2 linked regions of the Stegostoma tigrinum genome follow. The protein of the gene in region 1 interacts with the protein of each later gene in a pairwise test. Links are inferred from orthologs where the notes say so. Each region holds a gene or a part of one and is shown on either strand. Other genes may lie near its edges.

The links. The genes of interacting proteins can lie anywhere in the genome.
Region 2: the proteins of pdik1l (region 1) and c28h1orf174 interact in binary tests that used the Homo sapiens proteins (3 or more experiments, as listed by UniProt). The two-hybrid records come from large-scale screens. The link is inferred for Stegostoma tigrinum from reciprocal best matches to the Homo sapiens genes PDIK1L and C1orf174.

The regions. Positions count from the first base shown.
Region 1 is NC_081377.1:29,406,614-29,414,000, reverse strand, and holds the start of pdik1l (serine/threonine-protein kinase pdik1l), read left to right. Parts: upstream 1-4,025; 5' UTR 4,026-4,132; exon of another isoform or gene 4,133-4,139; intron 4,140-4,161; exon of another isoform or gene 4,162-4,554; intron 4,555-7,387.
Region 2 is NC_081381.1:42,839,918-42,848,369, forward strand, and holds the start of c28h1orf174 (UPF0688 protein C1orf174 homolog), read left to right. Parts: upstream 1-5,397; 5' UTR 5,398-5,538; coding exon 5,539-5,553; intron 5,554-8,452.

The DNA of each region.
Region 1 (7,387 bases):
ATGATGATCAAATGATCTGATTTTTAGATATTGATAAATGAGATTATCCGTCATGATTACATTATTTCTCATAGGATCTTGCTGCGCACAAAATGGATTCTGTAGTTCCTATTCAAGTAATATTTCATTAACTTTAAAGTACCTTTGAACAGTCTTTATGAAAGGTGAAATATAAATGCAAGGCATTTAGTCCTTAATGTGTAGCTTAATGTCTGTTAAATTGCATCTGTATTTAACTCGTTGTTTAAAGGCATAAGGTATTTTCCCTTCCCAAGAAAAGCATGTCTTCACGTTACTTAGAAATGGATGTGAAGATCTCTTTAAATAAATTTTAAGTCTGACTTAAAGATTTGCATGTGAAATGTTACAACAGTTTTATCAAAGAAATGTGATTTGAATCAGGTTACTTTACAGGATGTGGCATTTCTTTTAGATTATGATGACTTGTCAACAATAAAAATGAAAAGTGTAGATATTAAAATATTTTCTGTAGATATTAAAATATTTTCTGGGATTTTATAAGGCAAATTTGTTGATGGAACTTGTTACTTTGACACATGCTGTGCAACATGAATCATTAAATTGGGTTATTCTACCTTACAGTAACACATTAGAACATTTGAAATTACTTCATTGCAGACAAATTATTATTATTTTTGTTAAATACTTCGGGACTTCTTAAAATTCAGCGTAATACTGGTATATAACACATATACCAAAGTTTTATAATACTAGCATCAGCCCAAATTTTATGAAAAAATCGTGAATGGCATTTTCCACATAAAATATGTCTGGAAAGTGATCACCAGAGTGATGTATTTTCTGAGAATTTTGCTACATTAAAGGCACTCTACCACTCTTTCTTACTATTGTCTGCAAATTCTTTCCCACTTATCCATTCCAGCCCCAACTGGTTGTTGGAGGTGAGTTAATTTGACTCCAGGATATCTCTGCAGAAATTCCTCAGGATATTGTCCTAGGCCCAACCATCTTTAGCTGCCTTATCAATCACTTTCCTCTATCATAAGTTCAGAAGCAGGGATGTTCACTGGTGATTGCACAATATTTAGCTCTTTTAGTGACTTCTCAAAGAATTATGATACCCATGTCAACAAGCAGCAAGATAATATAATATCCAGATTTGGGCTTACATTGGCAAGTAACAATCGCACTTTACAAGTGCCATCTCAAACAAGAATGAATCTAACCTTCACCCCAAATGCTCCCAAACCCCATTGCAATGGGAGAAATTTTTCTATATCTACTTTGTCTAGAATTCTCAAAATATTTTCTGTGTTCCTGTTCCTGTGCTTCCCTTAAAATTATATCTGTTAGTTTCTGTTGACGTTTCTCTTTCTTCTTACTGAAATATATTATGTTCCATTCCACTGCATTAAATGTTATCTGCTTCATGCTTGGCCCTTCCTTCAGCTAATGTGTTCTTGATATCTATTACTATCCTCAAATTTTCCAAATATTGTGTCATCTACACATCTCAAAAATGCATTCTTGCAAAAAGTCTTGGTCATCATGTGTAAGAAAAACAGTAATTTCAGAACTGACCCCTAAGGACCTCCAACTTTGTCTCTAGTTTCTACCATCCTCCAGCCTGACAATAACCATTCACCACTGCCTTGTTTCCTATCACTCAGTCACTTGCACTTACCTTAAAACTTTTCCACTATTCTATTTATATGTCAGATTTCAATTTCAGACTCAGATGGTAAATAGCAAGGAGGAATGTCTTAGACTACAGGATGATATAGATGAGCTGGTTAAGTGGCAAAAAGAACGTAATCCAGAAAAGTGAGATGCCACAATTTAGAAGAACTGACAAGTACATGATGAGTGGTAGGTGACTGGGAAATATAGAAGATCAGATGGGCCTTTGTGTGCATATCTATAGATCCTTGGACGCAGCTGGACGTTGGTCAAGAGGCATATGGAATATGTGCTTTCATTAGTTGAGGCATTGAATACAAGGACTTAGGAGGTTATGATGGAGCTGTATGTAGTGTTAAGGCCATACTTGGAGTACTGTGCACAGTTATGGTTGCCACAGAATAAGAAGGATGTGATTGCACTTGACATGGTGCAGAGCAATGTTCCCTCTAAGTTATGTTGCTCATGCATGCACGTGCACATGCATGGCAACTCCGAATTGCCAAACATGGCAATCAGTGCTTTTGGCGGTAGTTGTCATGTGCACAGACCTCCAAGGAAAAAATATTAGAGGGAACGCTGGTTTGGAAGAGATTCACCAAGATGTTGCTTGAGTTGTAACAATTCATCAATGAAGGCAGGCTATTCAGCTAGGTTTGCTTTTCCTTAGAGCAGAAAAGGCGGAGGGATGATCTGATGGAAGTGTTCAAAATTATGAGGGTTATTGATAGGGAGAAACCTTTTTCTTTAATAGACAAGCCAGTAACCAGGTATGGTAAGGACCAGGGGGTTTAGATGGGATTTCAGGAAACAATTCTTCAACGGGGGTGGTGGGTATTCAGATCTCACTGCTTGAAAGAGTGGTGGAGGCAGGATCCATGAAGACATTTAAGTAGAATTTGGATGCAAACTTGAAACATGATCTACAAGGCAATGGTGGAAGTGCTGGAAAAATGAAATTCGAACAGATGGATGCTTAGACACAATGGTCGGCACAACATCGTGGGCTGAAGGGCCTGTTCTGTGCTGTACTGTTCTATGTTCTTAATGGGCTGAAGGGCATTTTTCAGTGATATAAAATAAAAGCAGAACTGATTGTGAAGAAGGGTCATTGGCCCTGAAATGTTAACTTTAATTTCTGGTTTCATAGATGCTGCCAAACCTTCGTTTGTTTATGATTTCCAGCATCCGCAGTTCTTTGTTTATTTTGGTCAAAGCTCTATTTCTCTGTTGACTCTAGTTTTAACAATACTTGTTATTACTATTAATGAAATGATGCAACCCCTCAATTTACCTTGGGATTTTTTTAAAATTTGCTTTGTTTTTTTTCATTAAAAAGTTAAACAGCTTACTTTCGCAGTGGGAACTGAGGAAACTTCTTCACAGAGTGAATGGTTGAGGCAGGTACAATAGGAACATTTACAAAACATGTGGCTAGGTGCATGGATTTTGACTTGATAGAAGTGTACAAAATGATCAGAGATAAAATAGACAGCCAGAGACTTTTTCCTAGGGTGGAGGTAGCTGTTATGAGGGGGCATAGTTTTAATGTGAGTGGAGGTAGATATTGGGGAGACGCCAGAGGTAGGCGCTTCATTCAGAGCAGTCGGGGTGTGGAATGCATTGCTGGAGAGGGTAATGGAGTTGGCCTTGTTAAGAGCATTTAAATGGCTATTAGATAGGCATGTGGATGATAGCATAAGTTGGGATAGAGGTTAGATAGACCTTTTAGGATTAGGGTAGTAGTTCAGGACAACATCATGGGCCAAAGGGCCAGTACTATGCTGTGCAGTTTTATGGATGGGAAAGGTTTAGAGGGATATGGACCAAATGCGGGCAATTCGAACTATCTGGACAGGCACTATGGTCAGCATGGACCAAGTACAGCCGAAGACCCTGTTATCATGCTGTAGTGCTCTATGACTGTATAACGAAACTAAGTCATCCGCACTGCATCCTCAAGTTGCACCAGATTTGAAAATTTGTCTTCGCGCAAATGCGGGAGAGGAGGGGCGGGGCTTCTTGGGGAGGCGGGAACGTCAATCACAGGGTCGGTGCAGTGCGGAGCTTGTACAGCTCACCACCCCCTACCAGAGTCACAAATCACATCTGCGGGGAATGCAATGAGTGACTGAACCTGCCTAATAACAGTAAAAGCGGGTGGGCGGAGCCTAGGACACGAGGGTCGAATCAGGCGAAGGTGCCCTGGCCATGTGGGCAGGGACGTTCCGGAGGGGCGCCTGGCGGCAGTGTGACTGACAAGAGGGTGGATGATGAGGCTTCCGATTGGATCAAAGGTTGGAGGGGGCGGGGCGCGGCATGGGGCGGGAGCACGTGCGTGAGTGGCAGTTATTTGAAGCCGGAGCTCGCGCATTGGCGGCTGGCGTGAGCGAGCGGGAACGCGGGAGTGAGACCACAGAAGCAATGGCCGAGAGCAGAGCGGGAGAGCAGCGAGCACCAACCGACTGAGGTAGAAAGTAAAATAAAAGACACACGTGTCCATTTACCGAGCTGTGACACCCACGAATGAATGAATGAATGAATGAACGAATGAATATTAATAACCGGCGAGCGTTGTAACGGCAGACAGACAGCATGAGCTGCCTGCTGCTCCGCAATCTCCCTCCTTTCACAGGCCGCTCGTTCCCTGATGTGAATCCCTGGCGGTGGGGGAGGAGGTATTGAACTCTCGGTGCGGCTTGCAAGCGCTCTTCCTCTGTTACTGATGCACAGTTACTCAAAACTGCAATCCCTGATTAAGGCCCAAGTGGATTCGAGGTAGTTGGTGAGCCTCTGCCTGCATTTCTATCCGCAGGCGCATTACAGGAACGGCTCCATTGAAGGAAAAGCAGGCTGGGGAGGAGGTCCAGGCCAGGCCATACTTTTCTCCATGTATGTTATTGCTCCCTACATAATACCTTGCACTTCATCCTCCATTGAACCCCCACCACACCTCCCGCAGTTTTCTTGAGCGATTAGAAATAAGCAGATTTCCTAAGTGCTGTTACACCTTAAATTTGTGCCAACTCGTGATGCCTCAAATGACTTTACCGTGAATAAGGAACTTCTGAAATTAAGTAATTGTCTAACATGGTAACCAGGTCCCGTGTACTACAGTGAAATGAATGACCATAGAGAGATGAGGGGGGCATTGCATTTGACAACTTTCCTCTTTTGGCTAGCACTAGAGGATTGTCCGCTAGCAGATGGATGTGCTGTGTTTATGTTAATTTGAATTGGCATTTCTGACAGTGTTGCACTCTGTTGATGCCATCTTAGATTGTTTGCTCCACTATCTGGAGTGGTATTGTGAATCCTGAACTTTTCTGTTGAGATGAGAGGTCTACCAGTTGCAGTGCAGGAACCCCTCCTTTACAGTTGTCAACTGGGCTTTTGCTGCCATGTAACAACTGTAACCACTAATTGTTGTCTCTACTGTTTTTTAATATTTGTTCACTGATGGACATGTCACTAACATAACCAATATTGCTCATGTGAAAAGGTGTTAAGTTGCTGTAGATCTTATTGTCTTGGTACACTGATAGAGCTTTTAGCAAATGAGTTCTAGGCTGTTAATTGAGAGGTAATAAAGGAAAGGAAAGGAAATATTGTTCTAAATTGGGATTGTGTGACTTGGAAATAAATTGAGGATGTGATGTTCCAATAGTCTGACCCTTTTTCTGTGTGTGGAACTTTGGTTGTAAGCTACTTTTGAAGAAGGAGCTTGGGTGAGTTGAACTACTTTTGTAGATGGTCCATCTGCAGGTAAAGGAGGGAGTAAGGAGGTTGCTCTATCTACTATATTGGATTGACCTCCCATCTTGTTTGGATGAGTGCCATTTAAATAAGTGCAGCGTGACATTCTGTTACACGACTGATGTTGTGACTTTTTAAGCTGTGGTAGCCTTGGGAAGTTGGGAGGTCAGTCATTCACTGCTGAATTCCCATCTGAGCTGCACTTGTAGCCAGCATTCCCACCATTTTTCTTCAGAATTGGAAGTCAGTGCTGCGAATGACATTGCCATGCCAATTGTGTGCAATTCTGCAAGCTCACAGCTTAGCTTGCTTGTAGCCACAATATTTACGTGGCTGATCCAATTCAACTTTCAATCACTACTAACCCTCTAGAAGCAGTGGGAATTCTGATGGGAATGCTGTTGATTGTCAAGAGGACAAACAGACGTGCCAGAGAATTGCTGGAGGCCTGGCAATCCAACCAGAACTCCCTCAACAAACACGTTGAACTGGACCTGAGAAACAAACCATGGGAAAAACAGAACCGTCAGTGGTGCCAACCACCACAGCAAACCGAGGTACGTAAAGAACAAGTGCGCAGAACACCAGCATTTCACCAGAGGTTCACTGAATGCTACCTAGCAGGGTGATGAAACGTGTGCATTCAGACACACCAGCTCAGCACGCAAGACTGCAATTACTTCCACAACCCAAGCAACAAATGTTCTCAAACGTTTTTGAAATTACCTGGTCAAATTAGGTTTTCAATGGACGATGCAGTCAACAGGGAAAAGACAGGAAGTTGTTGAGACAACAGCAGATCAGCCCTGACCTTATTGAATGTCAGAGTAAGCTTAAAGAACCAAATGGTTTATTCCTAATCTCTGTTCAATCAGTGAGCCTTTACATTTCTGAAATTTTACTGGAGGCAGTGTTGCAGTTGAAGATTGTCGGTCCTAACTTCAAATAGCTGTGAGTTGGAACTGAGGTGCTTGCGCTGTAATAACCACAAGCATAGCCTTTTGTACTTGGTATGACTCCAGCCAGCGAAGAGCTTTCTTTCGATTCAATATTGCTAGGATTCCTTAATGCCATTTGGTCACTCAGCATCAAATGCCATCTTGATGCTGAAGGAAATTACTGTTGTCTCACTTAATCTTTGGGAATTGGCTCTTGGATCCATATTTGCTCAAATTAAGTTTCACTCCTTTGTGGAAATCGCTGATTGTGGTTGTACATGGCTCCATGATACTTCCTCCAAGGTCAACTTTTTTTTTTAATTGAACACCTTGGCAGACCTGAAGACATCTTCACAATTCCTTTAATGGTAAAGTTGCTGTAGTCCTACCAGGCCATAGGGCTGCTGTCCCACTAGAGAGCTATGACTAAACTGGAGGGTCACTATGCTCGTGAGGTTGAGAAGCTGTGCCCTTCATGGCAAACCTCAGCTGGTGTGGCAATTGACATCATGCTGTTGGCCTCCCTCTGCATCACAAAACAACTGTTCAACCAATTGAGCTAACTGACCACTTTTATTTACATGTTTTTCAACTCTTGTAATCATTTTAAACTGAGTTATTTTGAAAGATTTGAATTTAGTAGGGTGAGGTAATAATTTGGTACCTCAAATAAGCTAGAACTAAGAATGAACATGTTCGTTGGCTTCAGTGATTTCTTACCCCTGCTTCATAATGCATTGAGGTTTTAAGGAGCAAACTATTATAATTCTGACACTGAAAAAATCTTCTCTACAAATATTTTTACAGATGAGTGCAGAATTGATAATACTGCAATAGAATAACCTCTTTAGTTTTTGTTTTTCCAGAATCTGCAGTATCTTGCTTTTCTATAATTCAGCTTGAGTTAAAGGTGTACTTGTGCTAAACATATCAGTCAACGTTTAAGCACATTCTGAAAACGCATGTCAGTTTGAGTAGAATGATTACATTGGCTCAACCAGGAACAAATCTGTTGTGGTTTCAAGCATTTT
Region 2 (8,452 bases), on another chromosome or scaffold:
ACCAAAGAGTCTGTTTGCATACAGTACATCTGTATGTATTATGAAGTTCTATATTCTTCTTGGAACACCTGTTTTTCTTGTCATCGGCAATCATTCACGAGTGAGTATGCTTGTCCACCTAGGAAATTCTGTGTCACTGATCATGTGTTCTGTGGGACCTTGTATGACTGATGAGCCCAATCTGAGAGCCACATCCTGAGCACACATTTGGCAGGTGTTTCCAGAAGATGGAATTGGTCCTTGACCTTGAGATTGTTGGTGTTCCTTTCTCCAGTTCCTTTCTGTAATTGCTATTGCTGCCAGGTGTTTTCAAAGTATTGTGTCCTTTCGTACAGGAGCTTTCTCCAAGCCAGTTTCTTCTGAACGAGGGTCTCCTATGAATTGATATCTATGTTGCATTTCATGATGGAAGCCTTCGTGGATCCTATGAAACACTTCCTTTGTCCTCCTCACATTCGAATGCCTTCCTTGATTGGGCAAAGAAGATTTGCTTTAGTAGTCAGAATTCAGGCATCCTAAGCATATGGCCAGCCCAGGCGAGTCAATTTTGGATGCTCGTGGCCTCAGTGCTGTTGCTGTTAGCTGCTTCAAGGATGCTGATGTTAGTACGCCTGTCATCTCAACTGATGTGGAGAATCCAGCTCAAATAACATTGGTATTTCTCAAGGGTCTTGAGGTAGGCGCGTATACATAATCCAAGTTTCAAACCATATAGAAGAGTTGATGAAGGGTCTAGGCCCGAAACATCAGCTTTTGTGCTCCTGAGATGCTGCTTGGCCTGCTGTGTTCATCCAACTTCACACTTTATTATACAGAAGAGTTGGAAGGATGACTGCCTTATGCCCAAGGATCTTGTTATCAACATGGATGTCACAGTTGTTGAAGACGCTCACCCTTAGCTGTCTGAAGGCAGCACTTGCAGATTATATGTAATGTTGAATCTCTACATCATTGTCAGCCTTAGATGAGAGGTAGCTTCTCAGGTACGGAAATGTGCCACATTTGGGAGGATTTCTCTGTTGATCTTAATAGAGGGGTGGACCAGAACTTGACCTGGGATGGGTTGGTAAAGGATTTGAGCTTTCTTAAAGTTGAGCCTGAGACAAATTCTTCAGTGTGCTTCTGAGAAGGCATTAAGTGAAGCTTGAAAATTCTCTTCCAAGAGACCAGAGGTGACATTGTCATCCGCATGCTCAAGTTCCGCAAGTGAGGTCAGTGTCAGCTTCTTCTTGGATTTCAATTGGTTGAGTTTGAAAAGATTTCCATCCATGCTGTGGACAATGTTCACACCACTGGAAAATTTGTTCTTGACAAGATAAAGGATGTTGGCAATGAAGGTGGGAAACGGCGGGTGTGATGACACATCCCTGCTCAATCATTATCTTCATCTCAAAGGATTCTATCCTTTGCTGTCAATGAGGACCATTGCCAATATCGAGTCATGTAGCATAGAAACAGACCCTTCATCTAGCCATAGTGGAGACAGAGGATGGTAATGAGTAACAGTAGACAGCCAAACTTTGACAGGATCTTCCATAAAAGTTCCTGCCTGAGTCAAAAGTCTTGCTCAGGTTGATGAAGGCCAGGTAGAGTGGTTGGTGGTGTTTCTGACATTTATCTTGGTATTGCCAAGCAATGAAAATCATGTGCCTAGGTCCACAGTTTGGTTGGAAGCCATGCTGGCTTTCAGGAAAGATTTCTTCTGAGACTGAGAGAAGGTGCTTAGCAATGATTTGGGTGATGGAGAGGAGGGAGGCTCCTCAGTAGTTCCCACAGTTCACTTTGTCTTCTTTCTTTAGTGAGCTGGAGGGAAAGATAAACAAAACCTGTAAGTATCTTGCATTTTACATAACCACCAAATATCCCAGAGCTCCTTATAGCCAATGCAGTAATTATGAGAGATGGGCCCAGTGCTTGGTTTTATTTCTTTGCAAACTTAAGTAGGACTGACAAAGTTATTTTACAAATTCTGATGAAAATCTGTGTCTATAATTCTCCAAACAGGTTGTAATTCTAGGTTTTGCCATCACAGCTGCTGTGCTGGAACTGCTGGCCCTTTCAGAGCACCAAGATAAATTTTCTGAACATGGAAACCTGGAAATAGGCATTGGAATTGCAGAGTATATCTGATGGAAACCTAAGATATCATAACTGTAGGCCTGTCTTCTAATTGGTTTCAGAGCCTCTATTTTATATAATCAATCTGAATATTTATTACATACTGCATGTAATGCAGTAAGAAAATGCCAATGGCTTTCTGCTGAATCGTAAACACTGGATATGAACGTAATAGTACCAGACATCTGCTCACAAATTCCAAATTACTAAAGAAATATGTCTTATCTTTAATCTTAATCACTTCCCAGTAGAATTCCCAGAGGGATGAGAGTGTTCGTGAATGTTGTTGACAGAACTAGCTGCTTGATTATGACCTAAAGATCCTCACACAATACATCATTAAATAAGATTTCCTTAAGAAAGAGCACTCATGGTTCAGCACAAATTATCACTCTTCGGTATTTTCCCTACCCTCTATAACAACAACAACTTGCATTTGTTTCATGCTTTTCATGTAACAAAATGTCCCAAGGCAATTTGCAACTACTGTGAAATCAAAAATTGACACTGAACCAGTAACAAAATCAGATGTTTGGTCAAACAGGGAGGCCTTAAGTATTGTCTTTAAACAATCAAGAGCAATATATAGGCAGAAAGACTTAGGGAGGGAGATACACAATTTAGGGTCTTAGTAGTTGAAGGCAGGGCCACTGATCGTAGTGTGAGTCAATTAAAATCAGAAATGTTTAAAAGCCTATCTGCAGTTGTTCAAAACAAGTCAGATAACACCAGACAATAATCACGTTCTGTTTCCAAAATTATGTATTTTATTCTTAAAATTTGTGAAAAAATTACAAAACACATGGCTCCAAATTACAGTTTGCGAGAAAATTCACCTTGTCGCAATACAATGAGTTTCACTTTATATAATTGTAATAATCTTAATATATACAACATATAGTTCACATAAGGTATACAGGCTGATGGTAAACCAGTTTGTATTTGAAATGTCAGAACATATTTTACAGTTTCATGTTCCACTCTGAGGTTCCTCAATACATTTCTATACTCTTGATTGATAATACATATTCTTTGTAAGGCACACAACTAAGCAATTACCATCTCAGTAGTATCCACCACAGCACTGACACTGAGTGATTGCTTATATTATCAGTATCAATTCAGTGTTAATCTAGTTGCTTGGTGAGGTTATATGTTAGTGCTTTGATATCATATTCTGAAATTAACCTCATAGTGTTTGATCAGTAATGGTTTATTCCTGCAATAAAGAATGTCCTAAATATAGCGCTTCAGTGAAAAGTGGCTAATAAAATTATCTTACAAAGACAAAGTATAGGAGTTGGGACATCATGTTGAGATGTACAGGAAGTTGATGAAGCCTCTTCTGAAGTATTGTGTCCAGTTATGTTTTTGGAAGGATATTATTAAACTGCAGATGGTTCAGAAAAAAAATTACCAGGATGTTGCTGGAGTAGAGTCTTTGAGTTATAAAAATAGGCTGGATGGACTGGGTCTTTTTTCACTGGAGTGTAAGAATTTGGGGGTGATTAAAAAATCATGAGGGGCATGGATAGGTGTCTTTTCCCTAGGTTGGGTGATTTCAAGACGAGATGCCATATTGTTAAGGTGAGAGGAGAAAGATTTTATAAAGACATGATGGGCAACTTTTTTACACAGAAAGTGGTTCATGTGTGGAGTGAACTTTCAGAGGGAGTGGTGGGTGTGGTTTGTTTGCATTGTTTAAAAGACATTTAGATAAGTACATAAATAAGAAGTGTTTGGAGGGATATGAGCCAAGCACAGGCAGGTGGGATCATTTTAGATTGGGATTATGGTCAGCATAGACGAGTTGGACCAAAGTGTCTGTTTTTGTGCTGTATGACTCTGACCCTATGACCTGAAAGAGCACAACCTTGAAAAAAATTGCAATATCACCAAGCTGCCCTCTACTTAAGGATAAATAGACACTAAAAAATAAAGCTGCCATTCAGCCCTACCTGGGAAAGAATCTAAATATTATTTATAGGTCAGATAATTTAGTGAAAGAGAATTAGTTCTAAAATAATGGCAATCCACTGAGTAAACACACGGCTGTAATAAATTTCAGTTTTAAAAATAATATAAGTCTTAGCCCCACAAAAGTTACTTTGCAATTTACCGAATATCCAAAGTAGTGAATTTTTCGATAGTTCGATTTTTCTAAAGCACAGAGAATATGGAAATCTGAAATAGAAACAAAAAAAAGTGGAAATACTCAGTAAGTCAGGCAGCACATCTCGACAAAGAAGCAGTTAATGTTTCGGGTTAATAATCTTTCATCTGTACAAGAAAAAAGTGGGAGATGGGATAAGTTTGAAGCAAATTGAAGGGGTGATGGTGAGAAAAAGCACATAAGGGAATGTTTGTGGTCAGATGGAGGGAAAGAAAGATAAACGACTCAAGTCAGAAGCCAAAGAAGTGATAGTGGAACAAGTAAAGAAACAAAAGATGTGTCAAGAGGTTTTGGGAACGACAGAATGATGAACAGTCGCTGCTCAAAAGCAAAACCAAGAGCGGGTAGGCAAATCAAATGTAAAAACCTCAAATCAGCAAAGAAAAATGAACGTGATTAGAGACGTTACAATTTGAAACGGTTGAATTCATTGTTGTGCCTGACAATCTGCAGAACATACAAAGGATTTAAGAACGCCCCTTGAGCTCCAGATGTTATTGTGTATAGGTAATGCCATTCATCAGTGACAATTATAATCTTAAAAAGTGCTCAAAATGGCATTTTTGGTCATTTTTCCGGGAATATAAGAACAATTGTCGACAGATACACTGCTGATAGTACCTGGAATAAGGTACATTTTGTGCGGCAATTTGAACCGTATTTCTGTTTGTTACTGTGCGCGCGCGTGAAAATTCATCAGAGTTGTTCGACATATATTGTGGTCAATTTAATGAAACAGTTCTTGACTTTGATATAAATTGTGTAAGCAATATGTGCCATATAGTTCGAGTATGCTAGAAGATAAGCAAATTGGTTAGAAATTGTACATATCCCTTACTTGCTAAACTGCAAAACAATTTAGAAGGTACAGTAATGGTCGGTCACTTTTACTGGCGTTGCAAACTGTGCTTTTACACAAATAGAGCTCATGGTTTACTTTCATCTGCCAAAAGTACTCAAAAGGTATTAATCCAATGCAAAGTCAGCTTTCTGCACAGTTTGACATTTTTCTATTTTGCCCTTCACAAAGATGGCGGGGCCCATTTAATACGGAATGATGGACGTCTTAGCAAACCAATCGACACGCCGAGTGGGCCACAATCCTCCATTCAGACAGCGGTCTGGGCGTGTGGGGTGGGGTTGAGTCTCGGAGACCGAGTTTCGCTGAAAGTTGCAAATGTTTGTTACAGTCCTGTTTGCGGCGAGCGTGTGACTGTAACAGGTTGGGACGATCGCTTTCACTGAAGATGAAGACTAAGCAGGTAGGAGTTTACTGGAGTTCGGCTTGCAGGTGCTATTTTCCCCGTCTAGCTACTGAATGTTATTAAAGGGATCCGCAGCCTGTGCCTGAGCGCGCTGAAGTGTTTGTCTTCACAAAGTTGAGATTCCCAAAAACTGCCTGCCTGCAAGCGCTGAAATTTTTTTAAGGTGCAGTTTTAAAACATCAACAGTTAATTGCTGTCTCTTGTATTGCAAGAGCCTCTTAGAACCCGACCGGCACAAGGTCCAAATATGTCGTCGGCAAGTCACAAAAGAGGAGTCAGGAAGTCAGTTCAATGCAGGCTGTGTCCTTCCCCACCAGTTGGCCCTGCCTATATAGGGTAGGTTGATATGGGCTCTGCTAGAATAGCAATCCTGAGTTACGATGGCACAGACTGAGCTGGGAGGGTAGCTTTGTTGAGAATACTGCTGGAACGTGTTTTGGAGGTAATATTATTATATGAATCTCGCTGTTGTCACAATCAAGAGATGCCACAGAATCGTGAAGTTTTCGATCGATGTTGTACCGGCATCGAGATTTTGTTTTGGAAGGTGCACACTTTTTGAGGCGAATGACAGCTAATGTGCCCCAACTAAAACAATAAAGGACCGTTTCCTGTGTCTGTGGAAGATAATTTGTCTGGATTTCAAATTGTGAAGTAGGACAACAATGTACAGTGCTGCTAGATGTTCTTGAAAGATGAAGCAACAAGAGAAAAAGTATTAAACAGCCAGATTTATGTCGCAGGTCCTCAGAGCTTTGAGGCCCAGTCACTTTGTTTCCATTTATATTTGGCACCAAGAAAGTGGTTTATAAACATTCAGCAGGCCTGTGTCAGAAGGTTGGCCCATATGGTTGGCTCAGGGATAGCTGTGTGAATGTCGATTATGTCATTATAAAGGTGCTTTGTGTAAACAGTCGGATCTTTGGCGGGATACTGTCAGGCTTTCATCAGCGAGTGGGCGAGTTAGCTTTAAATCTATGAAGTCATTTATTGTGTTGTCGGCGGTTGTCTAGGCATTTTGTTGATGTTAAACGGTTTCGTTCGTTTTACCCACTCTTTCTCCACAGTTTTCGCCCACTCTTTCTCAAGGATGTTAATTCATTGCCAGGGTGAAGTTCCTTCAGCACGAGCAGTTTTGACTATTTTGACGAATAAGCATTCTGTCAAGTGCGTGTTTCGGCAGTTAACGGGCAGAAATTTCAACCACATCGGCGGGAGGTGGGGGGTGCTAGTGCTTCGGAATGGTTCCGAGTGGGGGGCAATAAAAACCAAGAGAACTGCGGATGCTGTAAATCACTAACAAAAACAAAAGTTGCTGGAAAAGCTCAGCAGGTCTGGCAGCATCTGTGGAGGAGAAAACAGTTAACGTTTCGGGTCCGGTGACCCTTCCTCCGAGAAAGGAAATTTGTGTTCGTTGTACTGCATCAACTTTGCATTTGCAGTCAGCTGACCAAACTCCAGCCCAACCATCATCGCTACTGAAGTTGCAAGTTCAATTTAAAATTTGTCATCAAGCTGTTCGTTCTGGAAAAACCATCTCAACCACCCTTCTACTGATAGCGGAGTCTGTGCATGGGGGTGTCAATGGATAGTGATTCACAGTGAGACATCACTGGACTCTAACTTCCTCCTCTAGGCCAGCTCAAGTGGGGTAAGGCATTCCAACTGTTTTCCTTGACTGAACCTGGTCTTTGTGGGAGGAATTTAATGCTCTTCCCTGTGGTAAACTTGATGCCGGGGTGCCAAATTAATTGGTGGGATTCTGCCAGCTACCCTCTTCTGCCCTGATTAAGCCAATGGATAATCTTCTCACCTTCACTGTTAACTGAGACCAAAGTGAGCAACTAATGCCATTTATCCCACTTCCACTGTTGAGTAGAGGGAAAGGATGCTCACCATGCATGGAACATATGACAGAAATCATGGGTGGGCCCCTCATTCAAAGGCACAGTGCTTGAGTCTTACTATTTTGCTCTTGCTGCTAATTCCCAACCTGCTCCTTGATCCCGGGTAAGGTCATTGCTGTCTGGTAAGTATGTCTCAGTGGCAGTTAATTAAGTGGGTCTTCGCTAAAAGAAGCAATGGTTGACATGTGTGCAACCACTATCAACGTCTTAAAAGCTGCCCTGTGATTTAGGATCACAGCAGGTGGCTCATTGGCATTTTGAGCCAGGGAACATCTTTCAAGAATGATTGACAAAAAGTATTTCTTTCAACTGCCCTAACTATGTTATGATTAATGTTCAGAAGCAGTTCAATATTTCTGCTCTAAGAGATAACAAGGTGTATAGCTGGATGAACATGCAGGCCAAGCAGCATCATAGGAGCAGGAAAGCTGACGTTTTGGACCTAGACCCTTCAGATTCTCCAGCATCTGCAGTTCCTACTATCTCTGAAGCAATATTTCTGCTGTCTGTACTGTTGAATATCCCTAGTTTGAGCTTTTTGACCTTTAGGATCTGTATAAATGCTAGCGTGCAACAACATCTCTTGTTGCTGCGGTTGATGCCAATTCAATAGCACCCTGTGGACAGTGTTGCCCATCCTTGATCCTTGATTTGAGTGGTTTGCAAGGTTATTGAAGAGGATAGAATAGAATCCCTACAGCGTGGAAATAGGCCCTTCGGCCTAACAAGTTCATGCCCACCCCCCTATAAAACTACCTAATCTACACATCCCTGAACACTACAGGCAATTTTAGCATGGCCAATCCACCTAGCCTGCGCATTTTTGCACTGTGGGAAGAAACCAGAGCACCCAAAGGAAACCCACGCAACATGGGGAGAATGTGCAAACTCCACACAGACAGTTGCCCCAGGGTGGAATTGAACCCGGGTCCCTGGCGCTGTGAAGAAGCAGTGCTAACCACTGTCCCACCGTGTAGTTAAAGTCAACT